Linked DNA regions of Drosophila melanogaster. The protein of the gene in region 1 purifies or fractionates together with the protein of each later gene. This does not show direct contact. Each region holds a gene or a part of one and is shown in the gene's direction. Other genes may lie near its edges. The genes, in order: Sgf29, Atac2, Mocs2B and Ada2b.

Region 1 (3,580 bases):
ACCCCCAGTGAGTAATTGATATTTATAGCAGCATCCACTATCTTCAATGGTAATCTTCCGCAGATAACTACACCAAATATAAGGTCGATGGCTATACCGGCTACTTTGCGCTGTGTGCTGCGATTAAGAGAGCCATCAAGGAAGGCGTGGATGTGATCAATCCCAAGTTCTATTCCCAGATTGATCTGAAAACCGTGGAGAACATTTTCCGCTCTGACGATGGCGAGACAGTGATTCCGCTGCTCCAAAAGCGTCTGGAATCGCTCCATGAAGTGGGAAAAGTTCTGATCGACAAGTACGACGGCAGTTTTGAGAATGTTATCAAGAAGGCGGAGAAATCGGCAGTTCGCTTGCTGGATCTCGTTGTGGAGGAGTTTCCCTGTTTTCGCGATGAGGCTGAGTTTGCTGGAAAGCGAGTTTCCATCCTAAAACGAGCGCAAATCCTAGTGGGCGATGTGTGGTCCTGCTACAGAGGTCAGGGACTTGGGTTCTTTAATGACATCGATCAGATAACCATGTTCGCTGACTACCGAATTCCCCAGGTGCTAGTGCACTTCGGCAGTTTGGAGTACACCAGTGAGCTAATGGAGTTCCTAAAGACGGATACTATTCTGGAGAACGGCGATCCCCGAGAGGTGGAGATACGCGGCGCATCTATATACATCATCGAACAAGTTAGGGATGCTGTGGTGAAGATACTCAAGGAGCAGCACCCCGAAATCTCACTGGACAACGTCAACTCCATTGTGATCGACCAATATCTGTGGGACTACCGGCGTCGGCACAATGCCGACCTGGAGCACATTCCCTTCCACAAGGTGCTGAGCATCTACTACTAACGACGGCAACACAAATAAAGACGGTTCTTTGTTAAACTGAATTGTCCTTTAATTATCCACACGCGGGGCAATCATCTACAGAGTAACAGGCTTTGGCTTGCCCTTCTGGGAAGCGATGCGCTCGTTGTAGCGCTTCACGGACTCCTCGCGGGAAAGGTTTCCCTTGCGTGCGTAGCGCTGGTTGATCAGAAATTTCACATCCATCTAAAGACGGGAAGGTTGTTAAAATCAACTCTAGATGCTAACTAAATATGCATATTTTTGAATACTTACACCCAGAGTGGACTCGTGGCGTTTGCGCAGCGGGCGCTTGATGCCATTACGATGGGCCTTCTTGTTCTGGTTGTGATTTGTGTGGTTCTTGGACTTGGCCATCTTAAACTACTCCGGGTATCCAAAGATTCGTTGATGGGGCGGCACATGAAAACAGAAAAAATGTTCGCCATTATAATTTTAGCTTGGGGTTAACACTTGGAGTTCACTTTTAGCCAACGCCAGTTGAACAAAAAGCCAACAACTGTTGAAATTTTCGTTGCATTTCTCGTGTATTAGGCACCTACGTTTTTCGCACACTGGAATTCCTAGCTGCAATTGAAGATATTATAAATAAAAATAGCCAATTGGAAAAACGCGGAGCACACTTACGGAAACGCGATGGAAAAGAAGGGAAAGCCAGAGAGGCTGTCATAGAGCGCAGAAAAGGGACTAAATAACGCCAACCACGTGAAGATATCGTGCTGTTATCTGCGTGCTGTTAGGCGCACTTGCTTCCATCTCCAATGTAAGAAACGTAAACAACTTTGAAAAGTAAATATTCGAGTTTGAGAAAAAGATCCACTAAAGTCAAATAATGAGATTATACGGTACAAAAATCTTAACAATAATTACTCTGTTTTACTCTGTAAAATAAAATTTGCTAAGATTAAAAAAATACTGAGGTAAAATATAAAACTATCGCATAGTTAATACTAACGCGTTGTCGACTTTACGCTTATGCTTGTTTTTGTTTTCATTGCGTAGGTAAACAAAGTGTTCAAAAAACAAATTTATTATATTGTTATAATATCGAAACAACATGCCACTGACTGCGGAGAGTGCCGCCCAACAGATTCAGGTAAAGATGTTAACAATAAATGTCGATATATACTATATTTATATGGCATTTACAGGATCGCCTGAAGGACATTCAACAAAACATTCACAATGTGGACGAGGAGCGTCGTCGTGCGGAAAACTCCATTGCTAGTCTGGTGCGATCTCTGCACGCCACCAATCAGAAGGTTAAGCCCCTGCTCAAGGCCAGTTTAACGGAGGCTGCGCAGGAGGAGGCCACAATCCGAGCCGCACTGGCGAAAATCCACGAGATTCGAAGCATTCGCAATGAGAGGCGCATCCAAGGTGGGTTAGTGATGGGATGTATAAACAGGATTTAATCTCGCATATTCCACAGCTCGCAACGCTGGAAATAAGGAGGCCATTCGACGGGGCGCCCTTATGAAAATGGTGCAGCTCTCAGCGCAAACGTTGCCGTTATTCGTTGGCAAACTAGGAGAACGAGCACCAGCTCTATGTGGAGCCATTCCCGCCGAGGGGAACTATGTGGCCAAGGTAAGCATTCATTTTGATTGGACAAAGAAGCTGGGATGATGATCTGACTAATCGGACGCCACTGTATAGGTTGGCGACAATGTTGCCGCATTAGCTAAGGGAATTGATGAGGAGGAGAACTGGATCCTGGCGGAAGTGGTGCAGTTCCTTCACCGTCAAAACAAATACGACGTAATTGACATTGACGAGGAGCAAAAGGATCGCCATGTGCTGAGCAAGCGAAAGGTCATCCCACTGCCTCTAATGCGTGCAAATCCTGAGACCGATGGTCACGCCCTCTTCCCCAAGGACACAGTGGTAATGGCGCTATATCCACAGACCACCTGTTTCTACAAGGCCATTGTCCATCGCCTGCCGCAAACCGCCACCGAGGATTACGAGGTGCTATTCGAGGATTCATCGTACACGAATGGCTATGCCGAACCCTTGCCGGTCGCACAGCGCTATGTGATTGCATATCGTCCAACGAAAAAGGGGGCTGGCAGTGGCAGCGGGAATCTATCATCAGCATAAAAAATGTATTATCTTAACTTTAAGAATTAAATGTAATTGTAATAATAGCTCCAATTAAAATTGTATTCAATTCACAATAGACTGGTTTCTGTCTGGAATAAGAAGAAAGTAATTTCAGGGTGGTATTTTAATACCGGATTTTTTGGAGAACGGTTACATTGATTTCCTAAAAAAAATAAATAGACTTTAAAGTTTGTAGGAAAACAAAGGGGAAAGGCAGGCTTATAAGATGAGTAAAACGAGCTTAGCGACGCAGACCAATGGCACGGCGGAAAATGGAAACTGTTTTGATATCCTCAAAGTGTCTAATTTGTTCGAAACCAGCCTTCTGGACGAGGATGACGTACAATTAGACGCATACTTGGCAGCCTACGAGGAAATAATGAAGTAAACTGAGTGATTATGATGTTTATGTTTTTTAGTGGTGCTCTATTGGGCTTTCGGTGTTCATTAGGTTCTTCCAGCTCATGGGCAGTGTCTTCAGTTTTGTCAGCAGCGATGTGCGCAGTAAAATAGATATCTTATACGCCCTGAGAGCCAAGGACGCGGAGGAGCAGGAACACTTTAATACCTTCAGAACCATGCTGGATTACGAGAAGGAGGCCCAGTTGCTTACTCAG
Region 2 (5,184 bases), on another chromosome or scaffold:
AACAATTATTGTTAAATTATATAACTTATAATGCTATTTAATCAAATATTCATCGAGCATCGTATATATTTTCTCAGTGCATCGGCTGGTAGCAGCCCCACTAATAACGCTAATGGCTTCGATTAAGTGACAGCCAGACGGCGTTTGTTTGCCCCTCACGATGGGGGGATGCCCCCATATCCTTCCCTTACTTTTCCCTTTGTGCCAGGACCTGGCCTTAAATCGTTCGGAAAACGGTCAAGCCATGGCCGTGGAGCTAAGGTGCAATAAGTCTGGTGATTGAGAGCAAATACGGTTGTTATGAACAAAATGGGTGGCCAAACAAATTCTAACCAGCATCGCATCTGTAAATGTCATAATCAGCTAGTAAACGACTATCCAATTTGTCAAGCTCTTTCCAGAAAATATTTACCCTCGAGCTTTAAGTGATTTATGAGTGAAACTCATTTTAACTTTCGCAAAACTAAGATATAGATATACTTTAAAACATAATTCGGGGATATACTTTTGGCTGTAGTAGCACCAACAAATTAATTTGTTTCACCATATTTTTCGCTCTTTTCGACTTGCCAGCGGGCAGTCGCGAATTAAATGAAAATCTCCTCGAGGCGCCAGACAAGCAAGTTGAAAGGAATTCAACTACAGATATTAAAGGCAGGGAAGAACTTGAAGTGCAATATTCAAATTGAATTGAAAACGATGAGTGTTGAAGTGAAATCGTAAATAGGTGCATATCCTGTAAGATGCACAAACTGCATGCTTTGCAGTAATAATCATTCGGCAAATAGAAAGTGATTTACAAAAGAAACAATTGTGGATCCGTTCAGCTTTGGTTCTCAACTGAATACCCCACTTAGCCGGCCTGCAGTTTCGACCATCCCACTTCAGTCCATAAACCAATCATGCACTTCATCAAACACACAACAACAGCAGAAGCAGAAGCAGAAGCAACAGCTTCGCCAGAACGCAGCAGCCGGCGATGCCTAATTAGGCCCGCTTAAGACAACACACTGACCGGGCCAAAAGCAATGGGGCCAGGTCCGATGGTCGATGGTCTGCCGGAAACAGCCTTAATTATGCGTAAGCCGTAAAGAGCCCATTAATGTCATTTTCGTTGCATGGCCAAAGGACGCTGGGCGTTGGGTGGTGGGTGGTGGGCGTTGGTACTAATGTGCTTGGTGGGCGTAGGGCGTGACAAACGCATGCTTGATCAAGCGAAACGGGACTGTACTAATCAAGCGGATTCTTATCTTCTAGATAGGGAGAACATAAAAAACAATCGGGATCTTTTATATAGTGTATATAAGGGCATAAGGATATGCTAGATTCGTTGAAAAGTAGGTAACTGGCATAAGAAATAACAAAAGAAAAAGTCATTCCCGACAGTATTAAGCATATATATGTAATCAGGATCAGTGGACGAGTCGATTAAAACGTGTCCTTCTGTTCGTCCGTATAAGCGCTGTGATCTCGGGAACTTAAAAGTTAGGAAGCTAAGATGGAGCAATCAGATTCTAGACATGTAGACGCATCACAGTTTGTTTCAGAAGAATGCCACGCCCACTCTAACGCCCACCAAGAGCTCAAAACTTTTAAAAAGTGTTTTGATATTTGCTTGCAATTTCTAAAAATGTGACAAGAAAATGTTGAATACACCTGAGAAGAGGGTATATAATATGCGAAGACCATAGCCTTGTCTCTGTTCCATATTAATTAAAAATGCTTATTTATGACATTTTAACAATAAAAAATTATTTTAAATTATGTTAATGCTGACATCTTCGGCATTTTAAAACGGCAATGTTAATAAATAAATAAGTGCTTAATAATAATATGTTTTGTAGTGCTTCAGAAAAGATCAATTAAGAATACAAATTAATTTTATTTTTTGTTTTCCCAATTCAAATTATTGACAAATTTGAACCGAGCACAGTGCGATTTTTTGGTATTTTCAAAATGTAAGCTTCTCATATATATGGTATAAACCAAAAAGTGCGAAACGGTAACACACAAACAACACATTATTTTGTTGATTGTTTTTAACTTGCAATTTGTGCTGTTTTACTGAGTAAATGAATCGGCCCAGTAACTGGGATGATCCCCAGGGACCATGCCGCTACTGTGAATCGCCGGTGGAGGACGACAACTACCTGGAGTGCCAGGAATGCAGGCGGATGGTTCACATCAAATGCCTGCCGCATGCTTGCACGCCCGGAGATCTTTTAGGCGACGTTTTCTTCGAGTTCACGTGCGTCAAGTGTGTGCTGGATAAAGCTAAGGAATCGGTCATACCCTCAGATCTAGAACCCATTAAGGAAGTGATCGTGCGCCAAAGGATACCTTGGCTGCTGGTGCTCACCCTAACGCTCTACAATCTGTCCATCAAACAAAAGGGCTTGGGACACCATGGATTCTTCCATTGGCGCACGCACATCATCAGTTTTGTGGACAAGAACTGGAACTATATATTCGGTCCCAATGTGTAAGTATTCGTAAATGAATAATTTCCGGAGAACACATTCAATTTATTCCCCTTGTTCAGGCGGCGTCGCAAGCAATGGACTGGTTCCGTATCCGGCGCACTGTCCCACAACAGTCCGGAGTACTTTCAGTCTGGTCTGGATGTCTTTCAGGAGAACGGCTGGTGGAAACTGGCCAAGCCCTTTCAAACCCCAAGAAGCGTTCTCAAAGAATGTAAGTGCCACTTAAGTTAATGATATGATAGATTTCACAAGTCGTCACATTTCAGATGAGAAAAAGCAACAGTTGCGGCTACAAATGCGTATTGAAAAGCGGTTGCCTGCAGCGGACGAGACCAGCTGTAGCAGCGAGATCTCAGTGGCGGATCATGCCCAGGATAACCCACCGCTTATTAAAGCAGAAGCTGAGAAACCCAGTTCAACAGAGGGCTGTGCGCGAACAATGTAAGATAATTAATTTTGAATACAACTATGCGTTCCTTTCATTAAAATCTTTCACTTTTATTCCAGTCCCTACATGGGCCGTTTGCCAAAGATACAAACACAACCTTCACCCTTGTCACAGGAAACGCTTCCAGGGCCACCAATTCTTCAAGAAAATATAGCGCCACCAAGTCAGAAGGAGGAAGAACCACAGAATCAGCCTATGAGCATGGTCCAAGCAGGCCTGATGGATTTTCTGGCTGAAAGTTTGGAAAGCGATGATTTTACCATGTTTGGTAACCTACCAGGCATAATGCCCCCACCCCTGATTGGAGCGGGTAAAAATGATTTCTTCATGACCGAGCCGTTGCTTCACGCACCTTTGAATAATGAAGGTCTTTTCGACATGGATACAAATTTTGCCATACCAAATACCGCTGATGAGACCAAACCCATATCAACAGAAGAACCTGCAGCCGAAAGCAGCGAGGAACAAAAAGAAGGCGAGGTAGAAGATGAAAAGCCAGAAGAGGACGAATCACCCGACTATCAGCCACGCATCGTACAGGTTACAAATTACCAGGCGCAAGAGGCAAACGAAAGCATCAAAGAGGAACCACTAGAAGAGATAATGCAAGATGATGACGTCACGACAAATAGCAAATCCTCTATCCTAGAGCCTTGCAAACCGAGTGGATTTGTCAGACAACCACGGCGAAATTGGCCCTGGTTGCAGGAGGCGCAGGATCCCGATGACATGGCCATTCCTAGCGAAAATCTCAAACTAATAAATGCATACGAAGAACAGAAGTTGTACCAGCGACTCGATAGAATATTCGCACTGGAGCATCAGTGCCACATATCCATACCTGCCTATGTGCGGCGCCTATATCGAAAACTTTCTCTTCGAAAATGGAAAAGGGACCACAATCGACACATATTTAACTTGGACGAGCACATAGATCCCCTGGGAAGAGCACGCCTAAAGATGCTGGGTCATCAGAAGGCCGAAATTCTTGACAGATATCAGTTGTTAGCCCATTCACGACAAGATGCAAGGAGCTCCTTTCACGCCCGCCTGGCGGGATGCACTCAATACGAGCTCTTTGAATCGCCCTACTCTCAAAGAGTTCTTCATCCATTTATCTTTCGGAGCGAAACGATGGCTCCTCCATGGCTGAAGCTTATGTGCGAGCTGCAGCATAGAGTAAACGGATCTCATCCCACAAGATCTACCATCGACTTCTGTTTTGTGAGACCGCAGCATATTCCGGCCGTAAACGCATTACTCCAAAGTACTTTTTGGCCAAACATTGATGGTGGGTTTCATGATTTTCTTTTTAGCTTTTTTAATGTACAAATTTGTATGATTTTTTCCCTTTTAGTAAGCGAGTGTTTGAGCTACCCGGACTACAGTGTAGTGGCGTTGTACAAGAAACTGGTCATCGGTTGCGGATTCCTAGTGCCCGACGTAGGTTACAACGAGGCCTACATCTCATTCATGGCGGTGCGGCCGTGCTGGCAACGCAGTGGCATCGCCAGCTTCATGTTATATCACCTTATCCAGACATGTATGTCCAAGGACATAACGTTGCACGTTTCCGCCACCAACGCGGCCGTCATGTTGTACCAGAAATTCGGATTTAAGATGGAGGAAATCATCTTGGACTTTTATGACAAGTATCTGCCTCTGGACTCGAAACAGAGCAGAAATGCCTTCTTTTTGAGATTACAAAGATGAGACTTTTTTCAAATAAATGGTTTATGAATCTAAAGTTTCAAAAGACTATTTCGAAAGAGAATTTTTGGTTGCCAAGGTATGGCTTTGGCGCACCCAACTTTATTAGTTTTAAATTTTAACCTAAAGTAGTTCTGCTTAGAATTTGCCAAATTTAGGCGAATATTTTTTCCTCCCTGCGCTTTTTGGTAACCACCGTGCCAGGCTTGTGCTGCGCTTCCGGGTGATTCATTAGCTCCGGCGGACAGGTCGAGACAGGACTTGCAGACACACATTGCTTTAGATCGTAGAACAAAGCGCTATCGTCCTTGGTGACAAACGAAATGGCACAACCGGTTTTGCCGGCACGACCCGTACGACCGATACGATGTGTGTAATCCTCGATGGTCTTGGCCATGTCATAGTTAATAACCAAGGACACGTCCTTGATGTCGATACCACGACCAGCGACGTCGGTGGCCACCAGGATGTCCTTTGCGCCTGACTTCAAAGCAGCCAAAGCATACTCTCTCTGCTCCTGACCCTTGCCACCGTGCAATGTGC
Region 3 (3,977 bases), on another chromosome or scaffold:
TATTAGCTCTGCTTTCTTTCTGTCCACATCTTGGACTTTTGTCAATTCCTCTAGACGCTTTGCGTGGTCATTCTTGACATTAGACAGCTTTTTTAGTGCCTCACGCTCTTGCTGTAGCGTTTTCATGTCAATCTTTTGCGACTCTTGCGTAGAGTAAAATTCATCAACGGCTTCCATAAAGGACTCAAATGTGGCCTTTTCAAAGTTTTTGAATTGAATAAAGAGGTAGGGATGAAATTCGATGTTTCTAAAGAAAAACTCCACCGTTCCATTCTCTGTAGGCTTTTCCTCTTTAACTTGAATAATGTAGCCTTTACTTTTTCCACTATTTCCCTCAGCTATAAGCTCTTGAGCATCCTAAAAGATTGCACAGAACGTTTTATTTACTTTAACAGCAATAATAAATATTTCCACGATATTGTTCTTACCTTTACTGCTTGCTGAAGAATTGGCAAGTCATTAACCATGTCAAATGGTTTCTGTTCCAGTTTCGTATTCTGTTGCTTCTTACGTTGCTTTTTACCGCCCTTCTCCGGCTTGTCCTCCGCCTCCGGCGTTTCTTCCGTTGTTTCCTTTTTGATAACGTGATTGTCCAAGCCGTGTGAGAGGAGAACATGCTCTATAACTGCCGGACCACAGTCCAAGTTGGGTGTTAGAATCTGTCGCAAATAGTCGCCGTTCCTGGCATTTTCCAACAGCTTAACCAAAGCTTCCAGTTCCAGTTCCTTCGTGGGCTGTTTGGCCCGTTCCACGGGATATTTCTCGCGCATGGCGAAGCGCAGGTTCTCGCCCTCCGTATGCGGACGCAAAATATATAACGTGGTCAGCTCGTAGTCGGTGAGGATCACATTACCACGATCGTAGAGCTCCAAAATAACATGGTAGGCGGCATCACCGGTACCGAACTGAAAGTCAACAATACGATCGCTACCCATCTGTTGAACCTTTTCCAGGCGCTTGTTCTTCAAGTGCTTCCTCAACTTCATGCTGAAACCGGACGGAGCCATGTTCTTGGGCCATTCGAACCTAGTGGTATGGAATCTTGTACCAGATTCTATTAGCAGAGTGACCTTCTCCACTGCACCGGTCCCTTGCATCCGGAAGAGGTAGGTCTTGTTATCCACGTCATAGATCTGATTCACTCGCCAGCCGACCAGCCTGGAATATAAATGTAGATGTACCATTATTCCTGGGCATCGGAATTATCCGGATTTTTTACATACTTTTGCAGTTCCGCCACTCCGCAGATTATATCGAAGGTATTGAAACGTGTCTTCATGGTTCTTTATGGAAAGTTGACGATGTCAACACGGAAAGTGAAGAAAAAAGAATCTATCTGGCAACTTAACTTATCATTAAATATTCACAAGTTCGCTATCTACGTTAGATAAGTTAAATTAGTTTAATAGGGAATAATAACAATTTTATTCACTTGCGAAATTAAGTATCGGTGTAAATTGCGATGGACGAACTTTAAACAAAATATATCGATTGTATGCTGTTGATGATTCGGATTGTCAGAATGAATTCGCTGTATAATTACTATGTATTAAATATTTGTATTGTTTATGCAATGAGTAAGAAGCTTCTTTGATTTATCTAAAAAGTTATTAAGCATTTAATAAAGTTTCAGTCAGCTGTTTCCCTTTCCGTGGACTATTCCACTTCGTTCCGATAAGAAATCGATACATAGGTAGTCGGAAAATGGAACTGCTGTGTCATCGCCAATCTTCATTTGTAAATATGAATGCGGATGGACCTGTTGTCAACGTGCACGTGTTGTTCTTTGCTAAATCCCGTGAATTAGCAAACACTCCCCGGTCGACAGTGGAAGTTCCTACTGAAATTACTGCCACCGAACTGCTGGACCACCTGGTGTCCAAATTTGGCCTGACCTCCATCCGGGATAACTTGATTTTGGCCCACAACGAGTCGTACATTGACAACCTGAGTGATAGAATTCTGTTTAAGGAAGGAGACGAACTCGCCATCATACCGCCACTGAGTGGAGGCTAACCTTTCCGCCATGGATCACGTGAAATTGGTAAACGACCCCATAGATATCGCTCATATCCATCAGTTGCTGGCCGATGAAGGCTGTGGAGCCTCATCCGTTTTCGTGGGCACTACGCGCGATAATTTTCAAGGGAAAAAGGTGGCTTCATTATCTCAATCAATTGATTTCATTGATTCATTTGTACTTTTCGACCTTTCAGGTGCTGTCATTGGCGTACGAGGCCTACGATAGCATGGCACTCAAGGAAATGAATAAAATATGCTCAGATCTCCGATCTAAGTGGCTCGATCTGAAGCACATAGTCATATATCATCGATTGGGAACAGTGCCCGTATGCGAAGCCAGTGTAGTTATAGCCGCCTCGTCACCACATCGTTCTGAGGCCTTAGAATCAGTATCTTTTGCAATAGACCAGCTAAAAACTCGGGTTCCCATCTGGAAAAAGGAAATCTACGACGGCGATAACGACAGCGAATGGAAGGAGAACAAGGAGTCCATCAGGCCTAGTAAGATCTTATGAGTAGCCAGCATGACATGTATTCTTATTATTTGTACACTTGTAAATATAATTAACAATCGAGCGTTTACGATTTTATTGGCTTCTCTCTCATCTGTGCATGTACATTGTAGAGAAATCGAAAAGTGGCTTCAACTACGCCGCTTGTCCCTGCAAAGTTGAGGAGTCACATGACGTCCCGCGAACTCTGGTGCAAATTAGAGTTAATGACGCTGAGTTAACCAAGCGTTTAGAATGTTTTGTCAACAGAAAACGAGACGAAATAAACTCACAAAATGTAATTGACTTCAAATCGTCTTTTGTCAGCTCAGACCAAAACTTGAGCGATTCCTGCGCTCGAACGCAGAGCACAATTATTAAGCAGGAGCAGTCAAATTGCCATTTAAAAGGTGGGTAAACGATGCTCTATTTTCATAACTATAGCCACTTTGGTCTACAAACAACCTATCACAGTCCGACGAGTAAACAACCGATGCGGACCTCAGCAAATGGAAATGCGACCCAACTACGAACTCGAACTGAATAAACTAATGGGATCGCGTGACGGTCAAACGGATCCAACCAAAGAAATGAGGAAATCGCTACCCAATTCACGACTACAGGCAATTGAATCGTACATGGGTCTAACCACCGACAACGAGGAAAACATTTTCAGTAGAATCAAACGAGTGGAAAATAGACTGCTGCAACTGGAGTCCATTTCGCCCGAGTACAGACACTTCGTAGGTTCTTAAAACATTTCCTGTAATTGCAGTTCTAAAAAAATTCAATCTATTCTCAGACCAAACGTGAACCGTCATCTATGGAAGCCGCGCCGCCGAAGAAGAGCCGAAAGAAATCGTATTCGGCGCAAGAATTAAGTGCATTCATTCAAAAGATTAAGGATGGCAGCGAATTAAGCTAATAAAAACCTAATTAATTATTATTCCTTGGTTTGTAATTGATGTAAATTTATTTCAACATTCCAACTATTTGTAATAGTTTTTTTTATGCGTAAATGATGAGAGTGAAAAATGCAAAAATTTTTGTTTACAACTAAGGAATATGGATAAGCGTGGCTGATTTGTTTCTGTTTATTAATCGGTCGTCAAGCTTCATAGATCGCGCCCGAAAATCTAATGGTTATTTGTTAACCGAAGGACCAGCTTACTAATTATTTAATACGCGAAATTATTAAATCTTATTGTTGTTCTCAACTCCTAGCACAGAGTGGGGAATTGAGCTTCATCGTCAACCTTCAGTGGCTTCTGGGCGGAGCGGCGTTTCTCTCCGAATCTGTTGTTGTCTTGTCTGTTTTCATAGCCGTTGCTGGGTCCGTTGTTAAAGCGGGGACCACGGAATCCCTCTCCACGCGGTCCGTCATTGCGGTAGCCTTCTCCACGCGGTCCCTCATTGCGTGGACCCTCTCCGCGAGGTCCGTCGTTGCGATAACCACCTTCTCCG
Region 4 (5,701 bases), on another chromosome or scaffold:
GCAGATCCAACGTCACCAACAACAGCAGCCATCCCGAAATCGAGCACAGTGTGTGCAATCATATGCATATTGTTGGGCTGAGCGCCGCCAAAAGCCATGTCAGCACCTATTCCAGCTTCACCACACCAGTGATCCCCGCCAAGCTTAGCCAATGTTTAGACGCTTCCCAAGACGATGACGATGAGCAGCGAGAGTTTAGAGACAAAGACGAGACACCGAGCACAGCGAATCGGTTCCCATATCCGAGTGAGTATGGTGCAGAGTTTGTGGCATCTGCCGGCATGTTGGTCATACTGTTGCTAGTTGGCCATTGCCACAGGACCTTGAGCCCTCATCGCGCCAATGCCCATGACAAAGACACAAAGACTTTACATACCAAATTAGTTGATAGTTATGCTTTAGGACTACTCGCTTATGCAAATTTTGAGAGCCCATCCATCGCGGCCGCCTGCTTATGAGTCTCGATGCTGGGAGCAGGCGGTTCAGACGGATCTGGACATGGATCTGTTTCCGTTGCCAGTCGTCAATTATGACGACTGGGGTCGCGCCTGCGCTGTGACTTTTCCTTAGTTCCTTACGCAAGCGAATTCAAATCGAACCGTATCTGTGAAAATCGTGAATCTCAAACTCTTGAATGTCCTCGAACAGTATTGTTAAACATACTTCAGTCCCTAGGATCAGACGCAGGTGCGACACCAAAACCGAATTTGGCGCTCAAATAGACTTATTTAGACGTTTTTAGGTACTCGAATTGATAAATTTTGTTGGCCGTGTGCGTGTTTTTGAAAAGCGCAGCTGCACAAGTAACTTGCCATATCTGTTTAAGATCTGTTAACCCATTTTGTATCGTGTAACTCGTTTTGTTTTTCTCTGGTCCAAGCTAACTAGCAAGAGTAAACTAGCAACAATGCCACCAAAGCCACATGCAACACAAACTAGTCCTCACCGCCCACTGAGATATCTGGAACCCATAACAATTCGGCTACTGCTCGGTGTAAGACAGCAATACTAACAATAATATAAACGTATTCACCATATGAACTAATCGAATAATCAACTATTTATACAGCGTAGCCTACCCCAAATCCTTCCCAATGATTGTAATGATTGTAACCTACAATATCTCGGCAGTCCCACGCCCTATTCATGTTAGATGTAAGCAACCGAAATATTTTTCGGCAGTTATTACTTTTACACTTTTTGTTTGAAACAAAAGATATTTACCCATTTTATATTTTTTTTGTAACTCAGAATTTAGCTTAAGTTTTTAATCCTGACCACCGCTTAAATTTACGTATCGAACTGCATTTAAGCACATGAGTTTTTTATATTTTTATTCAGCACCACGCTACAAATGTTTCAACCATCACATATTCGTATTTATGTTTACCTTGTTTTGGTTTGATATGCACTTCTTTTATTTTAGTTTTATTTTATATATATTAATATTATTTTTTGTGATAATTTAAAAAAGGCAAAACACTCGAATTAAACTTTTAAAATAATTAAATAAACTACTATCAATATTTAACGCATAAACATTAGAGTTTTGAACATGTGCCTAATGTTTGAAATTTGTATTCTATATTTAATGTGTTGGTACTTTTGGTAAGTAGTATAATTTAGAAATTAACTATAATTCAGAGATTCAACAGAATTATGAAAATTAGCTAAAAAGGCTTTAAGACTAGCTATATAGGCGGCACTGTTCCGATGAACTGGTTCGGTTCGTTGGCCGTACATATAAGAATTCTCAGTAGAGCAATATGGCGTTGACTTCGCGTCTGGTCACATTACTGGCATAGGTTTTTTTCGCACAACTCATAATTGTCGTGAAAATCCAGGTTTTGGCCCAAAATGACCACAATCGCGGATTTATTCACAAAGTATAATTGCACAAATTGCCAGGATGATATTCAGGGCATTCGAGTGCACTGCGCGGAGTGCGAAAACTTCGATTTGTGTCTGCAAGTAAGTAACTCACACATACACGCCGTCGAGCGACGCACGTATACATGTTGCAGTAGGGTGGTTCGCTCTTTTTGAGGTTCTAGATACTTGTATATAGATTTGTAAATAATAAAAATCAGTTATTTTAACAAAATATTCTTGAATCACCCTCTTTGGATGGTCAAACTAATGGCCATATGGCCTCAATCCTCTAAATTAACGTCACCCAGATCTTGACAAGAAAAATATTTGCTTTAACTTTTTGTTAATTTAAAGGAAATTTGTTTATTGATTTTGGTAAATAGGTAGACTATCGTAGTTAATTTAATTAAAAATTACTTCCTTACGAATTAGCAGTGTCATTTTTATTTAGTTAAATGCCATAAATTAAAAAGAAAAAAATGTCAAAATAAGTGTCTGAATCTTGTATTAAAAAAAGGCCTGACAAAGCGTAAATTTAGGGAATATGAAATATGTTTCTGTTTTAATTTCCTAATCAAATTATTTTTATCGAGGAACTATTTACACGTTTTCTTTGTCAACATAATCGACCCACCCTGTTACACCCACACTCGTACAATCTAGAGATGCGTCGCCAATTTGGAACCAAAAACTGACTCATCTAGACATTCAAATAATACATACACACAACCGGCAATTTCACCATATTGATTAAAAAACAGCTGACTCTGTATTTATATTGTATTGTTTATTTTTTGCGCAGTGCTTTGCCGCAGGTGCGGAGATCGGCGCCCATCAAAACAACCACTCCTACCAGTTCATGGACACCGGCACTTCCATATTGAGTGTATTTCGTGGAAAGGGGGCGTGGACGGCACGAGAGGAAATCCGCCTGTTGGATGCAATCGAGCAGTACGGCTTTGGAAACTGGGAGGACATTAGCAAGCACATTGAGACGAAGTCAGCGGAGGATGCCAAAGAGGAGTACGTGAATAAGTTTGTAAATGGCACGATTGGAAGGGCCACTTGGACGCCGGCCCAGAGCCAGAGACCCCGCCTTATCGATCACACTGGAGACGACGACGCTGGTCCTCTGGGCACCAATGCTCTCTCTACCTTGCCTCCACTGGAAATCAACTCCGATGAGGCCATGCAGCTGGGCTACATGCCCAACAGGGACAGCTTTGAGCGGGAGTACGATCCCACGGCAGAGCAACTGATCTCGAACATCTCATTAAGCTCCGAGGATACGGAGGTGGATGTGATGCTTAAGCTGGCCCACGTTGACATATACACCCGCCGACTCAGAGAGCGTGCTCGCAGGAAACGGATGGTCAGGGACTATCAATTAGTATCAAATTTCTTCCGAAACAGAAATTACGCTCAGCAACAAGGACTCACCAAGGAGCAGCGCGAGTTTCGGGACAGATTTCGGGTCTACGCCCAGTTCTACACGTGTAACGAGTATGAGCGGCTATTGGGATCACTGGAGCGCGAAAAGGAACTGCGCATTCGACAGTCAGAGCTGTACCGATACCGGTATAATGGCCTGACCAAAATCGCGGAATGCACACATTTCGAGCAGCACGCCGCAACAGCGACGCACCGCTCTACAGGACCATATGGCCATGGCAAGACCGTAAGTTTAAGGCTCCGCAACAGGGGTGCCGAAATCGAACTAACCATTAAATATTTTATTTGGTCTTGAAAATCCGAACTTTTTGGAACTTTGTTATTTTTTTTTTTATTATTAAAATCCAAACATTACCTTTTCTTTCGATTGTTTCACAAAAATTAAAAGAGGTGTTAGGTGACCGGAACCGGTAGCTTTATAATTTTATCAACAATGAGTAGATTAACTTAAATTGAAAGAAAACAAATGATTTAAGTTGAATGTATAGATAAAAGTTTGGATAAATCGATTTGGAATACTTAATACAGAATATTAAATGGTCAAATTGGCTAGTTTCGATTTCATTCCCCTTGGAGTAAGCTTTTCCCACTGAGAATGCATGACGAGTTGAATATCGTGTGTTCTGCCTTGCTTTAACCGTCGTCCTTACCTGAACTGACCCAACTCTTACAATCGCTTTTCCGTCTTGTCTCACGATATTCAGCTCCACTGCATAATAAACGCGCCAAACAACGAGCGTTCGAATGGTTCTATAAGACAATGTTTAACCACAGGACCACACGCATACCTCCAATGGAAGTCATCGGCCGCCAAGCTCTTCCTTGCACTCCCCACAACCGAATCTCAGAAAGGTGTAAGTATTTTGGCAAAAAATTGCAATTACCTTAGAACTTGAATAATTCGGTTTTTCGTTTATTTAGCGAAATGTCAAGCGGCGGCGAGGCAAGTTCAAATTCAATCGCACCAAGAAACACGCTCCACATCGCCGACCCGACCTGCTCCGGCGCATTATTGCCCAGCAAAAACTACTTGGATAGCTGTCGGGGATCGTCGGCAGCTACGATGCTGCAGACGACGGGAATGGTAATGGGGGTAACAGTGGACTCGGGAGCGACGACGGGAGTGACTTCCACGGCTACGACGATGGCGAATCTGCCAACGAACTCGGCGAAGGGAAGCCAACAACATCTGCAGCCGCTGCAGCAGCATCCTCAGCTCCTGCAAAGCGGCAACCAGCACAAAATGCAAAACGAGGCCGCCGGCGGAGGCAGTGATCAGGTGCCCAGCATGAGCCTGAAATTGCGCACCCAGCTGGAGGAACTAAAACATCTGCCACAGCCGCCGGGCAGTGAACTGCTCAGTCACAACGAGCTGGATCTGTGCAAGAAGCATAATATTACGCCCACCACCTACCTCTCGGTTAAGACTGTCTGCTTGAGCGGAGCACCATCGTTGGGTAGTCCTATGGAGACTTCGCTGCGCAAGTTCTTTATCAAGTGCGGCTGGCTGAGCCACTGAACATCTTCCAACTTCCCGCTCCCCTTCGATTAAGAGCCACATGCATTTCCAAGGACTTCACTTTATTTTTGTATTAGTTAGAATAGGTTAAAGACATTTTTATACTGTTCAACTGTCGTTGGCATTTTCATCAAGGTAAAAACTACAAAACTGAAAATCAATTTACTTGTATCAAGTCAAGCTCAATTACAATAAGTGTTGTTCCTTTGTGTGAGATGTCGGGATTCAGATATTGTGTATTAACTAAGCTTAAGTAGGGGACCCAACCAATTGAATATGTATGATATGAATTGTAAATGAAGTAATAAATGTAATAGTGAATGTACAACAAGGACGCGACTTGTTTCTCGGATCTCACAGCTGGGAGACCGCTTTGGACTGAATGCCGCTAGGATATGTAAGAAGTAAGGTATTGAGTAAGCCTCTGATAGCGATAATACCGCGTTGAGTATTTATATTCGTATATTATTTCTTATGGTAGCTAGTTTTCTAGGCAAGATTCTGAACAATGCATTTGAACGTAATTCATTAAAGCCCATGAGAGCATGATAATCAATGTACTAGGCTGAGGAATGGAAAACAATGCTGGAAAAAATATATAAATATCTAATATGTTAACACATATGGAATGTTTTATAAATTAGCGAAGATTAAAACTTGTTAAATGAAAATGCGGTTATCTAATGACATTCTTCGGTATTATAAACTTAACAAAATCACTCATTCAGTTCAAGAAACCCACTAGTTATTTATCCTAGCTTATGTTCGTCCAATGCGGCACCCTAAAGCATGCACTCTGTAACCGTATACCTACAAAAATATATCATATATTTAAACAAATTTATTCTCTTTACCATT

Evidence for each region.
Region 2: the proteins of Sgf29 (region 1) and Atac2 purify together in Drosophila melanogaster (affinity purification with mass spectrometry; 5 studies listed by BioGRID). This does not show direct contact.
Region 3: the proteins of Sgf29 (region 1) and Mocs2B purify together in Drosophila melanogaster (affinity purification with mass spectrometry; 5 studies listed by BioGRID, with this or other methods). This does not show direct contact.
Region 4: the proteins of Sgf29 (region 1) and Ada2b purify together in Drosophila melanogaster (affinity purification with mass spectrometry; 4 studies listed by BioGRID, with this or other methods). This does not show direct contact.

The regions. Positions count from the first base shown.
Region 1 is NT_033778.4:21,291,694-21,295,273, reverse strand, and holds Sgf29 (SAGA-associated factor 29kDa), read left to right. Parts: upstream 1-1,627; 5' UTR 1,628-1,777; intron 1,778-1,832; exon of another isoform or gene 1,833-1,859; 5' UTR 1,860-1,914; coding exon 1,915-1,953; intron 1,954-2,008; coding exon 2,009-2,237; intron 2,238-2,289; coding exon 2,290-2,447; intron 2,448-2,516; coding exon 2,517-2,960; 3' UTR 2,961-3,035; downstream 3,036-3,580. Other genes in the region: CG9752 (uncharacterized protein), read left to right, coding at 1-7, 64-839; RpL29 (ribosomal protein L29), read right to left, coding at 915-1,043, 1,113-1,214; CG30392 (uncharacterized protein), read left to right, coding at 3,190-3,347, 3,415-3,580. UniProt on the Drosophila melanogaster protein: Component of both the SAGA and CHAT histone acetyltransferase complexes, which both predominantly acetylate histone H3.
Region 2 is NT_033779.5:18,609,067-18,614,250, reverse strand, and holds Atac2 (Ada2a-containing complex component 2), read left to right. Parts: upstream 1-2,001; 5' UTR 2,002-2,072; coding exon 2,073-2,482; intron 2,483-2,542; coding exon 2,543-2,694; intron 2,695-2,749; coding exon 2,750-2,924; intron 2,925-2,990; coding exon 2,991-4,222; intron 4,223-4,288; coding exon 4,289-4,644; 3' UTR 4,645-4,675; downstream 4,676-5,184. Other genes in the region: CG10333 (uncharacterized protein), read right to left, coding at 4,796-5,184.
Region 3 is NT_033777.3:25,125,113-25,129,089, reverse strand, and holds Mocs2B (molybdenum cofactor synthesis 2B), read left to right. Parts: upstream 1-1,730; 5' UTR 1,731-1,743; coding exon of another isoform or gene 1,744-2,016; 5' UTR 2,017-2,026; coding exon 2,027-2,155; intron 2,156-2,216; coding exon 2,217-2,523; intron 2,524-2,647; coding exon 2,648-2,923; intron 2,924-2,987; coding exon 2,988-3,256; intron 3,257-3,315; coding exon 3,316-3,438; 3' UTR 3,439-3,458; downstream 3,459-3,977. Other genes in the region: Clbn (caliban), read right to left, coding at 1-357, 429-1,158, 1,224-1,279; Mocs2A (molybdenum cofactor synthesis 2A), read left to right, coding at 1,744-2,016; vig2, read right to left, coding at 3,734-3,977. UniProt on the Drosophila melanogaster protein: Catalytic subunit of the molybdopterin synthase complex, a complex that catalyzes the conversion of precursor Z into molybdopterin.
Region 4 is NT_033777.3:8,236,580-8,242,280, reverse strand, and holds Ada2b (transcriptional adaptor 2b), read left to right. Parts: upstream 1-1,765; 5' UTR 1,766-1,857; coding exon 1,858-1,971; intron 1,972-2,674; coding exon 2,675-3,550; intron 3,551-4,028; coding exon of another isoform or gene 4,029-4,098; coding exon 4,099-4,178; intron 4,179-4,245; coding exon 4,246-4,843; 3' UTR 4,844-5,167; downstream 5,168-5,701. UniProt on the Drosophila melanogaster protein: Component of several Gcn5-containing histone acetyltransferase complexes that regulate nucleosome organization; involved in acetylation of histone H3, particularly on Lys-10 (H3K9ac) and Lys-15 (H3K14ac).